Linked DNA regions of Schizosaccharomyces pombe. The gene in region 1 interacts genetically with each later gene. Each region holds a gene or a part of one and is shown in the gene's direction. Other genes may lie near its edges.

The links. Genes that interact genetically often act in the same process or in processes that back each other up.
Region 2: mutations in gmh6 (region 1) and otg1 impair growth when combined (synthetic growth defect), as found in Schizosaccharomyces pombe (one study listed by BioGRID).
Region 3: of gmh6 (region 1) and ubp8, changing one suppresses a phenotype caused by changing the other (phenotypic suppression), as found in Schizosaccharomyces pombe (2 studies listed by BioGRID, with this or other methods).

Annotation. Positions count from the first base shown.
Region 1 is NC_003423.3:4,404,994-4,413,012, reverse strand, and holds gmh6 (alpha-1,2-galactosyltransferase), read left to right. Parts: upstream 1-3,306; 5' UTR 3,307-3,824; coding exon 3,825-4,952; 3' UTR 4,953-5,728; downstream 5,729-8,019. Other genes in the region: SPOM_SPBC1289.14 (adducin), read right to left, coding at 1-637; U1 snRNP-associated protein Usp109, read right to left, coding at 5,906-6,986, 7,026-7,042; U5 snRNP complex subunit Spf38, read right to left, coding at 7,196-7,491, 7,553-7,796, 7,842-8,019.
Region 2 is NC_003424.3:164,416-169,940, reverse strand, and holds otg1 (alpha-1,3-galactosyltransferase Otg1), read left to right. Parts: upstream 1-2,201; 5' UTR 2,202-2,405; coding exon 2,406-3,521; 3' UTR 3,522-4,127; downstream 4,128-5,525. Other genes in the region: alpha-1,2-galactosyltransferase Gmh2, read left to right, coding at 91-1,131; alpha-1,2-galactosyltransferase Gmh1, read right to left, coding at 4,224-5,213.
Region 3 is NC_003424.3:577,955-583,475, reverse strand, and holds ubp8 (SAGA complex ubiquitin Ubp8), read left to right. Parts: upstream 1-1,995; 5' UTR 1,996-2,085; coding exon 2,086-2,181; intron 2,182-2,259; coding exon 2,260-2,392; intron 2,393-2,492; coding exon 2,493-3,180; intron 3,181-3,225; coding exon 3,226-3,523; intron 3,524-3,527; exon of another isoform or gene 3,528-3,576; coding exon 3,577-3,641; exon of another isoform or gene 3,642-3,686; coding exon 3,687-3,756; 3' UTR 3,757-4,123; downstream 4,124-5,521. Other genes in the region: ysp2 (peptidase family M17 cytoplasmic leucyl aminopeptidase yspII (LAP yspII)), read right to left, coding at 1-984; protein Mcp7, read right to left, coding at 4,229-4,795, 4,890-4,955. UniProt on the Schizosaccharomyces pombe protein: Histone deubiquitinating enzyme component of the transcription coactivator SAGA complex. SAGA acts as a general cofactor required for essentially all RNA polymerase II transcription.

The DNA of each region.
Region 1 (8,019 bases):
TTCCATGATAATCGTGATATGTGACAGGACCAGATTGGTGTGAAGTTTGAGCAAGCTCAAGGAAACCATGTTTAACACATGAAACGCCAGCAGCATATGGATAGTGATTGTGCATAATGCTCTTCACATCTGGACGAGCCCTGTGTATCGCACTATGTATAACATAGCCAGCACGATTGATGCCAAAAACATCACCCGTAACACCAGGATGTTTGATGTTTCCATCCTCATCAACCTTAATAAGACTACTAGCGGTAATTTCACCATATCGTAAACCATAAGGATTAATCAGAAATGAAGCGGTTCCATCAGGTTCCTCAACCTTGGCAGTCAAATGATTTAGAATATTCTCATTCCAATGTTCTAAACCAAAAAGACGATATGCCGCAGCTAACTCAATACGCGTAGCAACCTCTTCATCAGTGAATTCATGCAGACATGACTTTCGGAGCATTTCACGAACGGCAATCGAGCTAAATTCCGGTTTAGGAGCGTAGGTTTTAGGATCAACTTTTGAATTTGTGGCTAGTCCTCTCGTAAGGTTTACTCCAGTAATTGCATAAGTAGAACGCAAACTATTATTTATGCATTTTGCTGCATTTTTCAAAGACAAAGGGGTAAATTTTTTGCTAAGCATAATTGGAATTTGATATAAGGTAAGCAATCTAAAATGCAGTTCTAGCCAGTCGTTATGTTAATGAAAGACCTTTAAAGTAGTAGAATAAAAATTCAAATGAAGGAAAAAGTGAATTAGAATTTATTCGCTAACGATGTTGTTTTAATGAAAGCAAGCTTATATTTATATTATTTTTCAACGTCATAGTAAGTGCCTAGAATCCTTTACATTTACTGAAATTCAAATTGCTTTGCCGAAATATTAAACTAATCGTAATAAAACACCATTCGAATGTAAAATTTTTGATGTACGTTATCTACGTTGCCGCGTAAGAGAGTAGTCAAGAGCATGCTAGTGTGTGATTTATTATGTTAATCTAGAATGAAATGCTACAATATTACTAAATCTCGAATGCGATATATAGAATCTCAAATTCAACCATATGCCCCTCATTCATAAATTCATTCTCTATATTTAAAAAAAATTAGGTAAATTATATTAAAACGTTAAATTGAATGACTAGCTTGAAAGTTGAACTCGCTCATCCAAAACTATTATGACTTTTAAAGCAATATTATCATATTTTTCGACCATATAGGTATTATGTGATTGGTTGATTGAAAGGCTGGTTGCTGATTGGTTTCGTTACACGAATATTATAATTTGACGTCACATTACGAGAGATATGAGAAGGAAAGAGAATAACATGTTCCACTAGGGAAACAGAATAGCTATGAGTACCAGTGTATAACGATATTTTGAATTTGTTGAATTCATCATCACCGTTTATTTTGGTATCAGTGATGGATGATAATTCATGGCATTTACTAATATGGGACGACATATCGTACATTTTTACACAAGTAACGGACATGAGCGCAAGACTGAACACAAGAATTAATGCTAACACCTCATAAGAAAAGTTAACAAGGTTGAGGATTGCTCTATTTCTCTTACTTTTTTTTAATCAAGTACTAACTCTATAGTGTACGTGTCAGTGGCTATTAACTCCCAATTCATTTAGATGTCATCCGGAATTAAAAAACGGATAACAAATTTCGGATAATGACTAAATATTGTTCCAATGTGGCACCTCAACTTTTGTACCATCGCTCTCATCCCTTTGCTATATTTCCGATATCCGGTTGTTTTACAAAAATTAAACAAGGGATTACTCGTCAACAACATACTCAACATCAGGTTATGATGAAGTTGTCGTTTGCTTAGCGAATTTTTGCTTGAGGTATACAATTTACTCAGTCCCTTCATTGGCTTTATCAACATGCCATAAATTAGTTTAAAAAATAATTTATCGTCATTACAATATCGGTATATTAGAATATAATTATATACTTTTACTATGAAATAATATTCTGTCTTATTCTCTTAAACAAAATTGCTTTGAAAATAAAAAAAATGATTGGCTGTTTAAAAATACTTCAACCGTAATATTGTATTATTGTAAACGAATATGTAGTGGTATAGCAATCGAATCTGGGGCCTTTCTATTGGTTAAGTAATTGAATAATTTTAACGGCCGATCCGTGAATCTTTATACCATAACAATTTTTTAGCTAAAGACACGGAATCGAAACATCGCTAGGTGATGAGTTAGTAAAGAATAAATATGGCTGCAATATTAAGCATGGAGAAGGACAACAACTCCATATTTCTTTGATTTGCTAGTTAAAATCTAAATTGCTATTGGTAAAGTACACAAAAATACAGTTATTGCTGGGCAAATTTTAACGTTATCATGAAATAAAAAATCAGTTCTAGAAAATAGTTACGACTTTCTTCGAAGCTGCAAACTTAAATTCCAAGAATACTTTGAATAGTCTCTGTAAGGTCTGAAGCGAATTCCAAAATGCTATCATTTGCTTTTCTGAGTACAATTATCGCATATATATTAAAAATTTAAGGTGTAGTGCATCCAAAAAAAAAAGAACGATTCCAACAGATATATTAAAGAATCTTAATTTATTGATACTTACATTCCGATTGTGCAAACTAAAGGTTAGACTAATATTCTTCTCAAAAAATTATACAACAATAAAAAGTGAAACCGATAAATTGAAAGCGACGCTTTGCATTTTAATTTAAAAATCCAAGCACTTCAGAAAAATGTTTGCCAATGCAGCAGAAGAAAAAGCATCAAAATTGAAGTATAACGAGGTTTTACAACGTTTAGAATCTCGTTAATCACAAACGTTTGATATATCGAGAATTCTTCTTGCTTCATTACGATATTTATTAAGTTAGCGATGCATTTTGGTATCTGTTTTAACGATAGTACTGCAGTGAGTTTTCCTTGTGATCTATTATATTGCAATAAGAAGATAATATAAGTACCATAAGTATAGGTATTCTGTTAAGTAGGTTATATAGTTACCTGTCACTAATACTGCTTATAACTAAATCTCGCTCCTCAGTTCATGTAGCTCTATTTAATAATCTTTCTAAAATATTTTAACAATGGGAATCCATGTGTATAAAGATAGTTATATATAATTATTGATAAACATATCTTAACTGATAATCCAACATATGGCATATAGTGATACTGTAACGTAGCGCATATTACGTAGTGTAGTTATGCTAATATATTATAAGGAATAGTGAGTCATAGCGTATATACTTATTTGAAATGTACTAAATTTCAACGCGTACATGCTTTCCTTCCCTTCATTATAACTACATCAAAAGTTTTAGTAGCTTTCCTCTAAAGCACTTAACTGAATGGTAACACGAGAATCGGTCGAAAGTTTATTTTATTTTTTATAGGTCACTCTCTATAAAACCTTGTATCTCCACTTTACCGCTACGTTCATTATATTTGACATACACTCTTTCAGGACACTTGGTGATTATTGCTTTGGGTAAATAGGGTATATTTTTTGGTGTTAGTAAACGATAAGATTAAAAAGGTACTTTAAATTGTCTCGCCTGCTATTGTGAGCATGTGTGTGCTGTGAAGTGCCTACGAACATCTACCTCTCACATTCTGAACTTATCTAACATCTTAGTTTAGGCTAAGTATTTTATAAGAAATCTTAGCTTTTATTGCATCAATTTTTAAAGAAGGATATTTACACCGCTCTTTCTTTTCTTCGCTATCATTTTTATTATCATTGGTATTTTTTCATTACTTTGAACATATTTATTTATCCAAGGATTGGTCAATTCTAATTTCTCTTACATACTTACAATGCGTTGGTATTCTTATGTTATACCAGCAGTGATCCTCAGCATAATTGCTATTTCTGGAGTATGGTGGAATGCTACCCTTGGTACTAGGCTCGACCAGAAAGTACAACTTTTCTTAAATGAACATTCTTCAATTTTGAATGCAGTTTACGAAACAACTACTATCGTTTACACAGAGCCATTACACACCAGTGTCAGCGAAACGATTACATCTACGTCTTTTGTTACAGAAACTACGACAGTAACCCCAACGGTTACTGCCACAGCTCAAGAGTTAAGCACACTTAATCCTCATCCTGAAAATTCTAAGATAGTCCTTTTGATGGGTTCCAATGCCCAAAATGACCCTTCCTCACCCTTAAATCCTTATATTAGAACGATTATTAAAAATCGCCGCGACTATGCAGAACGTCATGGTTTTAAGTTTGAATTTTTAGATTTAGATGAGTACAAACCTTCAATTGGCGACAAGCCTGCCCCTTGGGCTAAAATTCCCATGATTAAAAATGTGATTAGAAAATATCCAGATGCTGAATGGGTATGGTGGTTGGATCACGATGCTTTAATTATGAATCGTGATTTGAATCTGGTTGATCACATTTTGAAGCATGAAAAGCTAAATTCTCTTTTATTGCGCGACACCGAATATTTTAGTGGATTTGGCATTGACTCTGAAGGATTCCGAACACCTAAAAATCAAGACCCTGATGATATACATTTTATCATTGCTCAAGATTTTAATGGCATTAATGCTGGCAGTTTTTTAATAAGGAATTCTGAAGTAGGAACATGGATGCTGGATTTTTGGAATGAACCACTTTATAAAGAACATAATGGTGTATTTGTCGAACAACAAGCCCTTTCTCATATGATATATAGTCATCCCATTGTGCATAAACATGTTGGGCTAGTTACTCTTCGTTCAATAAACGCATATGATTCTTCTGATCCTGCTTGGGGATATGAAGACGGTGATTTATGTGTTCATTTTGCTGGGTGCTTTGTCTTTCAGACATGTGCACAAAATTTTGAAAAGTATGGCAAGATTATCACAGAAAAGCAAGGCCATGATTGGTTCGATCCATCCGAAAAGGAATATATTGAACAACGCCTTTTCCCTCAACCTTAATCAATACCTTGTTATTCTTGCTATAGTGCTTTATATTTATTCTATTATTAATCTATGCAATGATCAGTGCTATATAACTCTAATTGTAAATATAATATTTACTCTATTCATCTGTACGATCGGTTGGTGTTATTATATTACTGGTTATTATTTATTTAAATTAATGCATACAATTGACCTAGCATGATCATGGTTCCCAGCTTTCACTATGACTTAACCTTGCATTTACGATACAGTCGGATAATTCAGTCTTAATCTTCTTGCGACGCTTATGTTCACTAAATTAATAAGCACTCCTAATTGATTAATTAAAGAGTTTGATTCATTTTATATCCAAAAGGATGTTCAATAAGCAATTACTGGCTAATCGAGGACAATTTCATCAGTCGTGAAATTTCAAAATTCATTTTTGAATCTTTGTCCAAGATCAACTTGTTTTGAATGTAGATTAGCAGAACTTTGATTGCGGTAATTGAATCAAGTAGGACAGCTATCGGTTTCATTGATTAAACGTTATGAGACAAATAGAGCTGCCGGAGCCAGAAAGAGCGATGCTCTATAAATAACTTTCAATCGTTCAAGCATTGTTTAACTTGAAGGTCTCAGCAGTCCAAAATTTATGATAAACAGAATATGAATGCCTTGTAGAATATTGTAATAAGGGTTTAAACATATTATCTAGAATCCATTTTGTTATATTAGTTTAGCATTTCAAGTTATATCAAACCCCCCATTTTGTTTTTTGTCATTTGAAACACCTTTTAATAAACGACGAGTATACTTATAAGCAATTGCTATCAAGAATAATTTAGAGAATATATTCGACCAAAGGTCCGATGGATTATAAAATAATTATTTTTGCAGGACACAGTATTTGCTATACAAATAAAAATTTATATTGGATTAAGATCCTTTTACTTTACCAAATGATGCATTGCCTTGCAGCTAATTTCTTAAGCTTGTGAGTAATGCACGGGTAAAAGCATAGTTGATTCAGCATCTAAACGTGAGTTTACGGCTTCACACATTGCCAGATAACTATCATTCAAAATATCGGGAGGTACAGAAAGATAAGGATAGTCAGAACCATTTTTTAAACCTGGAGGAAGCAAAGGTGCTGAAGCAGTATGATTCCAGGATTTTGCATAATACGGGTTGATGGGAGAAAACGGCGTAAAGGGATTGTTAGGTACATCCTTCATGGAGGGATATACAGGAGCAGCAAGGGCCGGCCAATACGTAGATTGCTTGGAAGGTAAAAGAGCCATCGAAGGGGGCCTTGCCCAAGAAAGCTGAATCCTAACACCATGCAAAGGGAAATTGTTCATTTCGTTAATTGCCTGCTCAGCAAAATATCGTTGAGCAAAGACTATGCGTCCACTATTATTATTGACTTGAGTGTATAAAATCTCACCAAAGTGGAGGAAATATGATCGTAGCTCTTGTGTCGTTATATTTTCGGGGAGTTGGTGAACATAAACTGCTGTATTGTTTGGATCAGTAAATTGATTTAGTGGTTGAGGTGTACCATAAAACCCAGGCGAACTTAAGTAAGTATTTTTATCGGATTTGACGGAATGAACTAATATAGATCTTTTTAAACAAAAGGCACCCTGCATCTCTACCTGCGCGTTTTGTATATCACTTTCATTAGCTAACCATATGAAAGCAATGCTAGTTGAAGTCCCGTCAACACAACGTAGAACACGAGCAGAAATAAAGTTATAACGTTGAAACAAGTATTTTATATCATTTTCAGACACTTCTGGATCAATGTTACTAATGAAAAGCATATAGTAACTAGGTTTTTGCCATTCAGGAACCACATCTAAAGAGATCGGGTTCCCAGATATTAATCGTTGAGTAGATTGCCTTTCTAAAGCATTCCTAGCAGCATCTTGACTCTCAAATTCAATGCAGCAAGTTTTTAAAATAGCTCCCGACTCGCCATCTTCATAATAGTTTACTTTTCTAACATTTTCAAAAATTGCTCGAATATAGTCCTCATTCATCCATTCTTCTAAGTTATTTAACCTGTTTAATTAGAAATAAGATTAGATGATGTATCATTACCATAAAGATGTACTCATAACGCATATAATTTGATAATTAATCGAAATCTAAGAAACTTGTAGTTATAGGAATTATAACAGGCTTGACAACTAAGATCGTCAAATAATAAGTTCTACAGAAAATTTTAATAGTATTTAATGTTTATTGAAAAATTATTCATGAAATAAAAATTAATTCAATTCCCCAAGAAATATTGTTCGATCTGAGGAACATGAAAGAATGATGTCCTGATGTGGATGAAAGTCAACGTGATTTACTGAACCCTCATGTCCGGGTAATACATAACGTAAATCGCCTGTGGCTGACCAAACATATACGTTTTTATCAGAGCTACCAGCACCAACGAATCGTGAATTACGACTCCAGGCAACACCTAACAAATTATGCTCCTGTCCGTGAATAGCTCCTTCAAAAATTTGCAACTGTCGTTGAGCAGAAGCAAAAGGTTTTACATCAAATATTCGAACTATAAATTAAAATAGCATTAGTACAAAGGTTGATCAAACACCCAAAAAAAATTAGCATACCCGTGTTGTCCATAGAATTAGAAAGTAAGCTAGATCCATCTTTAGATATAGCCAAACTAGTAATGATATCTTTATGCCCTTTCAGAACATGCGAGCAGTGATTGTTTCGTAAATCCCAGATTTTAATAGCTCCGTCAATACCACCGATAAAAACTTGGGTTCCTTGCTGCGCTATTGCGACAGCCGTTAAGGGATATTTTTCTTCTATTGTTTTTATGCAGTCTTTTGACCGCGAGTCCCATACCTTAAATTTAGTAACTATTCCATATTTTAATAACAATATCCATACCTTCATAGTACAATCATCACTTACAGAAGTCAGAAGTTCGGAACCAACTTTTAAAACGTCTAAAGCATTCACCACGCCAGCGTGGCCTTTATGCTTCCGGATTTTTTGACCAGAGACAGCGTCCCAAGACATGAGGTGTGTATCGGAGGAAGAACAGTAAACTACGCGTGAATCCCTG
Region 2 (5,525 bases), on another chromosome or scaffold:
TTTCGGAAAAGCCTTTTTTTCAAAAAAAGTTTTCCAGTTATTGTTTCATTATTTCTAATTGATTTACTGAAGAATTGTTATAACCTAAAGATGGCACTTATGTTATCCAGGATTCCACGTCGTTTTTTTTTCTTATTTTTAACGGTCGGCTTGATTGCTGGCGCGTTTCTATACTCGTTGATATATTTTGTGGACGTTGATTTGGTGTCGAAGGTTAACCAGTTGTATGATCAGCAAATTGCACCCATGCTCTCCGATGCTATTGGCACTCCATCCGTTAATCACTCGTTTGAGTTGGCGCCGTTAGACTCTCATTTGGTGGCCACAAGCACTACATTCCACGAGGCGTCATACGAGTCAGAGCCTCAGCAAAATCCTGCCAGTCAAAATATTGTCTTATTACTAGTTAGTGATGGACACACTTCTTACAATAATGGAGCTAATACGTTTGAAGAAGCTATACAGAACAGAGTTGACTATAGTACCAAACAAAACTACAACTTTGAGTATGTCAATGTTACTGGCCTCCCTATTCCCGCCGTTTGGTCCAAGATGCCCGCCGTCTTACAAACTATGAAGAAATACCCCAAAGCGGAATGGATCTGGTTGTTGGATCAGGATGCAATTATTACTAATACCCATCTTTCCCTTCAAGACTCCTTTTTGAAACCTGAGAACTTGCAAAAGACCTTAATTACTAATACCATCCTCACTAAACGGCCTATAAATGCTAACGGGGATTTGCGTTATACACCAAGTAATTATAGTTTAAAAGATATCGAAAATCTCATGGTCATAATCTCACAGGATCACAATGGATTAAACGCAGGTAGTATCTTGTTCCGTAATTCACCTGCTACTGCCTTGTTTTTGGATATTTGGACAGATCCTGTTGTTGCAGAATGTGCGAAAGCCAATAATGAACAAGACATGCTTGGATATTTGATTTCTAAGCATTCACAACTTGCTTCGCTGGTTGGCCTTATTCCTCAAAGAAAAATAAATGCTTTTCACGAAGGTCCGGAAAATATGGAATGGCAAAAAGGTGATTTGGTAATTCACTTTGCTGGATGTTGGGTTGAAAACCGCTGCGATGAACTATGGCAAAAGTTTTACGCCTTGATTGACTAAGTTGCTTATTCATTATATCCGTCTGTTTAATTTGTTTGTGTTTTAAAAAATTTTATATATATAAACAAAGCGCCGTATAATTTTCCGTCAATCTTCCTTTCTTTATCTGAATCTCTAATAATGTTTACTATTTTTTAATCTTTACATACCTAATTAATATAGCGGTTGTGCCATAGCAATCAAAGTTTCAGGTTAGTTTTTTATAGCGAGATATCTGGGAGTTTTGTTTTACACAATCGTCCATCAATAATTGTTATATATTGTATATATTTCACATTGACTTTGAAGCTGTTTCTGTTGGTTCAACTAATTTGCTTTGGCAATTTACCAATGCAATATTGAAGATTGGAATAACAGTTTGGCGTTAATAAATCTTTTTAATAATTTGCATTTCACCGCAGCTGCCATTTTCTGTTAAATGCTGATAGAAGTTTTATTGAATCATTCGTGTCGGATTATACTAAGTTTTTATTTATCTTGTTTTTTGGCCCTACAAAGTATTGGTATGTCCTTATTTTATATTGATTACACTGGCTTTTGGCCTTATAAAGATATAGATTAGTTGCTAAGTCTAAAAGATGTATTTTTTAACGGTGGTTCCATTACGTCTGTGCACCCACTGTTTACACTTGTGTCTTTACAAACCTAGAAGCATTTTCCGATTAATGAGGTCTATCAGGTCAAGGAGAAAGAATATTTGAATAGATTTATCGACAAAATATATTTCGTTAAATTTACACAATATTTACTTTACCAATAAGCTAAATGGTATTTCCAATACTTTTCCAGCTAACAGTCAGATTTTTCACTGTTTGAAACAACTTCACCAAATTAATTCATTAGTGTCAATTTCTATTACATGCTTAAGCTCATAATTTTCAACATCCAGATAGCTCGAAAGTTGACACCATTACACACAAACTAAGATGATTGTGAAAAAACAAAGCGTTAGGATTTGTAAAAGGCAATTCCACAATTTGAATTACAATACTGTAACTGAATATAGCGCGGCACATGGTACAAACAACGTGCTGGTAATAAATTGACAAATGCAGAGCAACCCGCGTGATGAAACATAAATCTCGGATATTTTTTCTTTAAAGGGTTGTTAACGCAAGTCGTTTAAGGGTAAAAGAAATAAATAAATTTTAGAGGGTAACATCCTCATAAAGGGAGTCATCTTTAGAGCCTTTTTTCATTTTTTTAAGGCTTTCGAAAATTTCACGTGTCTCAAATTCTATTGTTTCAGCGGTTCGTTGAATTAATCTCTTATCATGTCTCGAATTTCACTTTCAAATTTTTTATCTCTTCCGCGTTACAAATTCCTGTTGTTTTCTGTGGTTTTGATTATTGTGATGACAACCTTAGTGTTTAACGGACACGATTATAAGCAAACCCTTAATGACCGGCTTACTTCATTAAAAAACAACTTTGTTGAGGAAAATGATAATGCCGTCTTAAAAGAAGAGCCTGGCAAATATACGTATATGAGTTTGTTTACTATGCCTTCTACTGAAGAGGATTACTACTTCAACGCTACTAGGGTTTTAATTCACCGATTGAAATATCATCCTACTACCAAAAGTAAATACCCTATCCATATCCTTGCACTCCGTGGAGTAGATGAGTGGAAAATTGAACGTTTTCGAAAGGATGGTGCTTCTGTGATTGTTATAGACCCCATTGCTTCATCGGATATTGTATACGATACATCCTCATTTAGTCAAGAAATATCTGCTAGATATGAACAAATGTTTTCGAAGTTGCGAATTTTCGAACAAATACAATTTGACAAAATTTGCGTAATTGACAGTGATATATTGATCATGAAGAACATTGATGATATATTTGATACTCCTTATATGTACCAACAAATTAATACCTTGAACTATACACGGCTACCTTCCTACACGAAGCCTGATGATGATACCGTCTATCACTTCAATGAGGATTTTAAAGAATATGGTGCCAGTCGAAGCGAATTTTACCCTTATCTTCTCGCAGCCGTCTCTGATAGAGGAGAGCATCATAGTATACCTCCAGAAGATACTCCTTATTTCAATGCTGGCTTAATGCTTATACGTCCAAGCGAGCTTCATTTTAACCGTATACTTAAAATCGGAAGGTTTCCTTATATGTATGAGAATGCCAAAATGATGGAGCAAAGCTTGTTGAATCTTGCATTTTCCTTGGACGGATGGTTTCCCTGGACTCGTCTTGATCCTTATTACAATGGCGTGTGGCCCTCAATTGACGAACGTCCTCTCTTAAAAACAGCACACGGAAAATTCTGGAATATTGGTAGCTCAGAATTTGCACCAGTATATTTAGCTGACTGGTATGCTGCTTATGGCGAAATGCTGTCTTTTCATAAGTATGAAACTCATTAAAGGAGGAATACCTTTCTTTTTTCTGTATTGTGACCTTATTTTACAATTAGAAGTTAAAATCTAATTGTATGTTATATATTTGAAAATTTCTTTAACTTATTACCATAATTTTATTTTAGACTTGCTATCCTTATTGTCTAAACGCACATTGTTTAGATCTCTTCAGCTTTCTTTGATTGCTGGCTATGTATACAACTTTATTACCTGCGTCTGTCTATAAATCCCGTTAGCGGTGATTTGCTTTCGGTCAGCCTATTTTTAGAATATAATTTTGGACTTGCGGTTGATTTTAATATACCTCTCATCTCTCCTTCATTATGGACTCATTAGACCTTATGAACAAACCCCAATTTTAATTATTATCACAAGCGTTTAGCAATTTTTGATGCTTAAACTAGCCTGAGGTCCAAACAGGATAGTTTAATTAGTGTTAGACATTAATATTTTTTAGAAAAAGATACTTTATGTCTAGAGGGTTGTTTTTGAAGCATTTTATAGAATTTATTCTTTTTTAAGAAAATTAATTAGATTTGTAAAAATGTGCAGCTTCATAATTATTTATGGAGCGAATCATTTATGTTTAAATAAGACGGCATTAATATAACGAAGTAAAAGATAAATAGTAATAATAAATTAACTGTAAATGCAATTGAAAATGTTAGAGGCTATAACGCGCCGACACTTGGGCATTGATTTAGCCTTTTAAATTATTTTATCTTTGTATTTAGTCCATAACTCGGCGCATTTGTTTTCAACCCAACATCCAGCGAAATGAAGAGCTAGATCTCCTTCTTGCCATTGCATTGTAGGGGGTCCTTCATGAAAAGCATTGATAAATCTTTGAGGAAGAATGCCAACCATGGAAGCTACCTGCGAGTGTTTTTGAATGAAATAGCCGATCAAATCTTGTTCATGACGCACGACTCCTGCATCTGCCAAAGAAGGATCAGTCAATAAATCCATTAGTAAAGCGATGGATCTTGAATTTCGTACTAAAAAGCTTCCTGCATTCAATCCGTTATGATCCTGAGAAATTAGAAATTGTATTTGTTCTATCATTTCCTTGGAGTAAGCCGCTGGAGTGATTCTGAAATTATCTTCTCCGAAAGAGTTTATAATTGGTTGCTCCCTAAGCAATGATTTTTGGAGCATTGCAGGTGAGAGAAATAATTCCTGTAAGGACAGATTTTTGTTCATTATAAGAGCATCCTGATCTAGCCACCAGATCCATTTTGCGGATGGATACTTGCGCATTGTTTGTAGAATTGCGGGCATCTTTCCCCATACAGGTGGCACTACCAGACTGGAAACGTTAACGAATTCAAAATTGTAGTTTTGAAGTTTCGCATACTCTATACGATTTTTAAAGCAATCATCTAGTAAGTTAGATTCAAAACTTCCAACGTTTCCATCGCTAGCAAGAAGCATTACTATTTCATGTGATTTTGGTTCATTGAGATCTTCGTGATTAACGGTTGCTGTATACAAAGTTGTGCTTCCGCCGATCAAAAAATTATCGAGAGATGTCACCGTAGTTTCATATTGAAGTGCAGGAAGTTTAAAATCAAAAACAGAAATCTCGTCGTGCGGAATAAAATATAGCCCGAAGGCAAAAAAGGTGAAAACTATAGCCAAAGCTAACATAATAAGCTTCCTTTTAGTCAAGGTATTTTTTGTAAAAAAGGAAAGCATTTTGTTTTGTGAAAGAGTGATTTGATCTGCAAATTAATAAAAGAGTGATTCGTTGTTTCGGAAAACTACGTTTATAAAATTATAGATTATGCTCAGGTTTTAAAAAATTGATGTTGTTCGTAAAAAATTGAAGCCTCTGAAGATATAATGTGTAATTATCTGGACTTGAACATATTGAATATTTATGACTGAATAATTATCAACGCGGCTTCATTGCATATTGACATCACAATTTATCCGTGGTGTAAATTTAGGTTGAGTTAAGCGAGCTTTGAACTAGAAAAGTAAACTCAACGATGAATATTCTTACAG
Region 3 (5,521 bases), on another chromosome or scaffold:
AAACACGGCATTCACGGGGATGGAAAGTTGTTCCAAGGCATAAATAGAGGAAAGCATAACAGCAGCACCACCCATATCAGCACGCATCTCCTTCATGTTTTGAGAAGGCTTGATACTGATACCACCGCTGTCAAACGTTACACCTTTTCCAACTAAACCAAGCCATCCATCATCTTTTGATTTTTCTTTACCAATGTATTGTACTTCTAAGAAACGAGGTGGAATATCGGAACCAGCATTCACGGTAAGTAAACCGTTCATCTTTTGCTCATCAATCCACTTCTCATCGTGAACGAATACTTTAACCTTTGAGGAATTTTGGAATAACTCTTGAGCAAAATGACAAAATTGAAGAGAAGTCATGTAATTAGCAGGACATTCCATAAGAGAACGAGCCAAGTTTTGAGCAGCTGCTTCAATCAAACCTACCTTAAAAGCATTCTCCTCTGCGGTTGCAGTTTTCTTCTCAGATGTGTTGCTAAGCAATTGGAAAGTTAACCTTTCAGGAGCAGGAGAGGTAAATAAATTTTCCTTTTCAACCACCTTTTCATCTTGATAGACGCTCAAATGGTCTCTACGAAGAGAAAAATCGTACGTGGCCAAGGCAGCACCCAAGGCAGCATCCTTGGGAAAACCCATACCATCGACAGCTATCGACTTTGCACCATTCGACTTTAAAATCTTAGCTGCCTCTGCAGCAGCTGAACGAACGGACTTTTCAGAAACGTTTTCTTCAAGCTGGACTATGGCAAGACGAACAAAACCCTGAGTGTTCCAAAAGAGACGAATGTCATTTTTTTTGGGAGATGTTTCAAAATACTGGTCAACAACTTGTCGATAATCTTCAGAAAAAACTTGTTTATCGTGACGAACAGCCAAAATCAAGGAATCGGCTTTTGTAGTAGCTAAAGGAATTCTTGGTAAAAGAATGGAAGAAAGTGAGCTCCAATTAAAGGTTCTCGTACTTAGACCTAAACCCTTCATTGTACGTAAGAAAAAAAGCTTTGCTTGTATCTTTGATTTCTCTTGATTTAGAAAACTTAATTAGACACTTGTAATCAAAAAAAAGGTAAAGGATTACGGATTATTATAAGTTCAATGAGAGTTGGATATTCGAAAATCGTTAACTCGTGAAACTACGAATACACGTAAATTCAGTATGCAAAAATAAAATACGATGTCCGATTGCAGATTGGGCAAGGGCAAGTGTACTTAACATAGTCTAGTGTGTTATTGAGTAGACAAGATCAACATTGTGATGGAAAAATACATTCAACAAGGCTAGACATAAAAAAGAAAAAGCACCAAAGGATTTTATTTCTTGATCAAAAACCAATTTTTAAGTAAGTCACACTCATTTGCTACATATATATTTGAACTTCTGCAGACGTATTGTTGCCCTACAATCTCTATTTAGGGTAACACAAACTGTTTCGGCACAAAAATCTGCCCCTAGTCAATTGTTAAGTAATAAATTCTATACAAATGTAATAGACAAAAATTTTCGTACATGTACCTGCTTGCAGTGACTCGGTTGTATTACAAAGATGCTCACGGTAAATAGTCATATATGGTTTTATATTTAGCCCTGCAAACGTTTCATGGCAACAAACATAAGCGTACACTTAAACACGTTCGACGTTAATAGAGGCATTAGTCTAATTTGACCAAGCTTTTAAAAAATTAACAATTTCATCTATTCAACCGTGATTAAAGGACTAGCAGTAATTTTTTTTATTTTGCAGTGACTCAACAGCCAAATCTATGGGAATTTACCAAGTTTATGTTTTAAAGAGGAAAACCAAGGACACTCAAGAACTACGAAGAACATCTATTTTGGTGTTTTATCAATTGACTTAGCGTAGCTATGATAGCTCTTTATACGAAATCGGTATCTAGTAGTGCAGACACTATGAGTACTTTATGGCTCTTAACGCTGTACACCGCATCCTTAATTGCCCAAATTTAAGCAAAGAGAAATAATGTTCTTTTGCCAGAATAGCGAGTTCGTCTATTGTTGTCGTTTCACCCTGCATCGAAGCAGATGCTTTTTAGTCTGAAAGGCCAATTTTGTACGTATCAAGGATGCCTGGGGATGTAGAAGGTTGCCAGCATCTTAAACTTAAACCGGCGGATGTTGAAAACTATCAAAAGATCTGTACCCAGATATTCAGTTGTCATGTAAGGCTTGTGAACAACACTTCATACAGTTCAATTTTCTTTTTCCATTCGATTCCTTTTAACATTTCTTTCATTTAGTTTGTCCCACGTCGCTGCAGTACTTGCAAACGCATCAACAAGCGGAGTATTCGATGCTTGAGTTGTCATTCTGTGGGATGTCTTTGGGGACATCATGGTGAAGAACACGCAATGGAGCACACTCATATGATCGGTACGTTTAGTTGAAAACATAGCTATTGATTTAGCAACGAAACCTTTTTGCGAATATCGAGTTAGGATGCAATTCCCGAATACCAATTACTAATTCTTAGGCGTGGATGTAAAAAATGGCCATACCTACTGCTTTGGCTGTCAAGACTACGTTTATCAGACCGAGTTGGAAACCCTTCGTTTTAAGATCAAGAATATCAAGGCATGGCAAAGTGATCACAAGAGACTTCCCGAGAAGTACAATCAAATGGTTTGCTTAGAAGCCTATCGAAAATACCCTCCAGTTTGCGCAACAGCAGGCTTGAGGGGGATCCAGAACTTGGGTGCTACTTGTTTCATGAGCGTCATTTTACAAAGTATTTTGCATAATCCATTGGTTCGAAACTTGTTTTTCAGTGGGTTTCATACTTCTACTGATTGTAAGCGACCTACTTGCATGACTTGTGCCATTGACGATATGTTTTCATCTATTTATAATTCTAAAAACAAATCTACTTTTTACGGTCCCACTGCTGTCTTAAATCTTATGTGGAAACTCAGCAAATCTTTATGTGGTTACTCCCAGCAAGATGGCCACGAATTTTTTGTATACTTGCTGGACCAAATGCATACGGAAAGCGGAGGAGGAACATCAATGCCGTGCACTTGTCCTATTCATCGTATTTTTAGTGGATCTCTGAAAAACGTTGTTACATGCCTAGATTGCAAGAAGGAGCGGGTGGCTGTGGATCCTTTGATGGACATTAGTTTAGACATCAATGAGCCAACACTTCAAGGATGTTTGGAAAGGTAAAATTTGCTCGTTTTTAGATTTTTTAACAAATATTATTTTAGGTTTGTTTCCAAAGAGAAAGTTCAATATAGCTGTCATAGTTGCGGGTCAAAAAATGCTATTAAACAATTGGTCTTTGACAAACTACCTCCAACTATTTGCATGCAATTGAAACGATTTGAACAAAATAACTTTGCCATGTCAACTAAAATAGATAAGCAAGTATCTTATCCAGCATTTTTAAGAATGCGCTACAACTTTAATCAAGATGATGTGGATTATCAATTATACTCAGTTGTGTGTCATAAAGGAACTCTCGACACAGGGCACTATATTGCCTATACATACTACCAAAATCAAGTATATTAAATTTTTTTTGAATTTTTTATGGAAATTTTTACTAATTTTTGTAGTGGTTTTTGCTGGATGACACCACAATTGTGGAAGTAAAGGAATCGGAGGTCTTAAATTCTCAAGCGTAGGCTCTTTGCTGTTATTTTTTTACATACTAACCAGATTATAGTTACCTATTATTTTACCATGAGCGTCAAATCCTATACAGTGATGAAATGACTGTTAAAACGGAAAATTGAGTTAGATTATGCGATCAGATATCCGTTCATGAACAATCATTATGAACCATGTAAAGTAATTGACTCAAAGGTTCCTTATTTATGTGGTTATGAAACATCATCACTTCGATAATCTAACTCATGAAGAAGCTTTTAGATTTCATATTGTTGAGGCCAGAAATGGCATTGGATTTGGAACCGTTACAACAGTCGCATTTTAATTAATGACCTTACGTAAATTTATAAAAAAAGTTAAAACTATAAAAAAAGAAACATGCTTTTTTTCTTTCAAAGTTAACAAATACTATAAGTTTGAGGAATTTGGACTTTTGTTTTGTTTCGTTTAATATTATTCCAACTAATTATAATTTTATCTTTTAAAAGCTAAGTCTTGTCGTCGAGTAAGCTATTTTATATGTAACTGTTAAAATGTATAAAATTTTAAAATATTAATAAGGAAAACAACTCTTTGAATTAAGGAAGCATGTCAAGTTCACAAAATCGGTAGTTGCAGATCGTCCAAATCCTCTGGAATGCTGCAATACTCACGAATTTGATTGGTATCGGCACCCATGTCTCGACAAAAAGCTATCAAAGTATGGATTTGATCGGTCCACAAATTGGCAGCTTCCATGTACTTTTTAGTATTCTCATTTTTTAATTCAAAGGTTTCAGGATTACAGTGATTTAAATTTGAAAGTTGTGTTTTAAGAAGTTTTAGTTCTGATTCTTTTGCATGTAGCAGTTCCAAAGTGTATTGATTGGCATCATTTTCGGTTCCTTCGTTATCCCTTTTGGATTTCTCGAAACTAATGTTTTCATCTAAAGTTTTAGATTTTTGTTTCAAATCATCAAGTTGAGCTTGAAGAGATCCGAGAACTGACTCTCTTGAACGTTTAGCATCGGAGGGAAAAGACCAGTAGTAATTGCTAGTGCCAATCTTTTCCGTTTTGACGATATTGTCGTCAACGAGAGACTGTAAAACGTCCTTTACAGTTTGCAAAACGATTTGCTTTTTAGAGCCCAGCTTTTCCACCTCCTTTAGTTGAAAAAAATCTTTCTATAAAAAAAACATAGATTAGCAATGTGGAAAGTGAGACACGAATGGGCAAAAATCATGTTTTGGCACTTGAACAATCATATCACGAACTTACAGAGTCATGGAAAATGGCCTCTAATCTTCTTCTTTTCTCTGCAAGCGATAGTCCCTTGGGAGGCATTGTTTAAAAATTTATTAATTAGTTTGAACAAATATGGAGTTTAAAAGTTTGTTGTGATGCAAGAAGTAGATGCTTTCTAATCTTTTGGAGAAATGAGAGTTTAGATCCCAAACATTTACTGAATGATAACGTAGTCTGCTAAAATGCACATCCGCACTTTCCAACTATGATATATACCCTATAATGTCTTACTATCGTATTGCAACATAATGCAATGCAAAACGTTATTCAGCTATCCTAATCTTTTTGACCCTTGAGGAAATTAAGGAATTAAGTGAATGGGGTTGGCTATTGTCGCACAAAAACATGTGAGGAAAACTTCCTTTTGCCACGAAATCGAAAAGACTCGAATACTGATAGCAGCATGATTTTTTTTTTCTCAAGAGCTTTTGTCGGCGCTCACCTTACTGTACGAATTCGGTTTTACAACCTTTTATTTATTTTTCACTTTATTATTTTCACACAGCGAATTTCAAGCAAACACTGACTGACTAACACATTTCCACATACACACACACACACACATAGCATTCATAAGAGCAACGATGTTTAATGTCAGCGCAAAC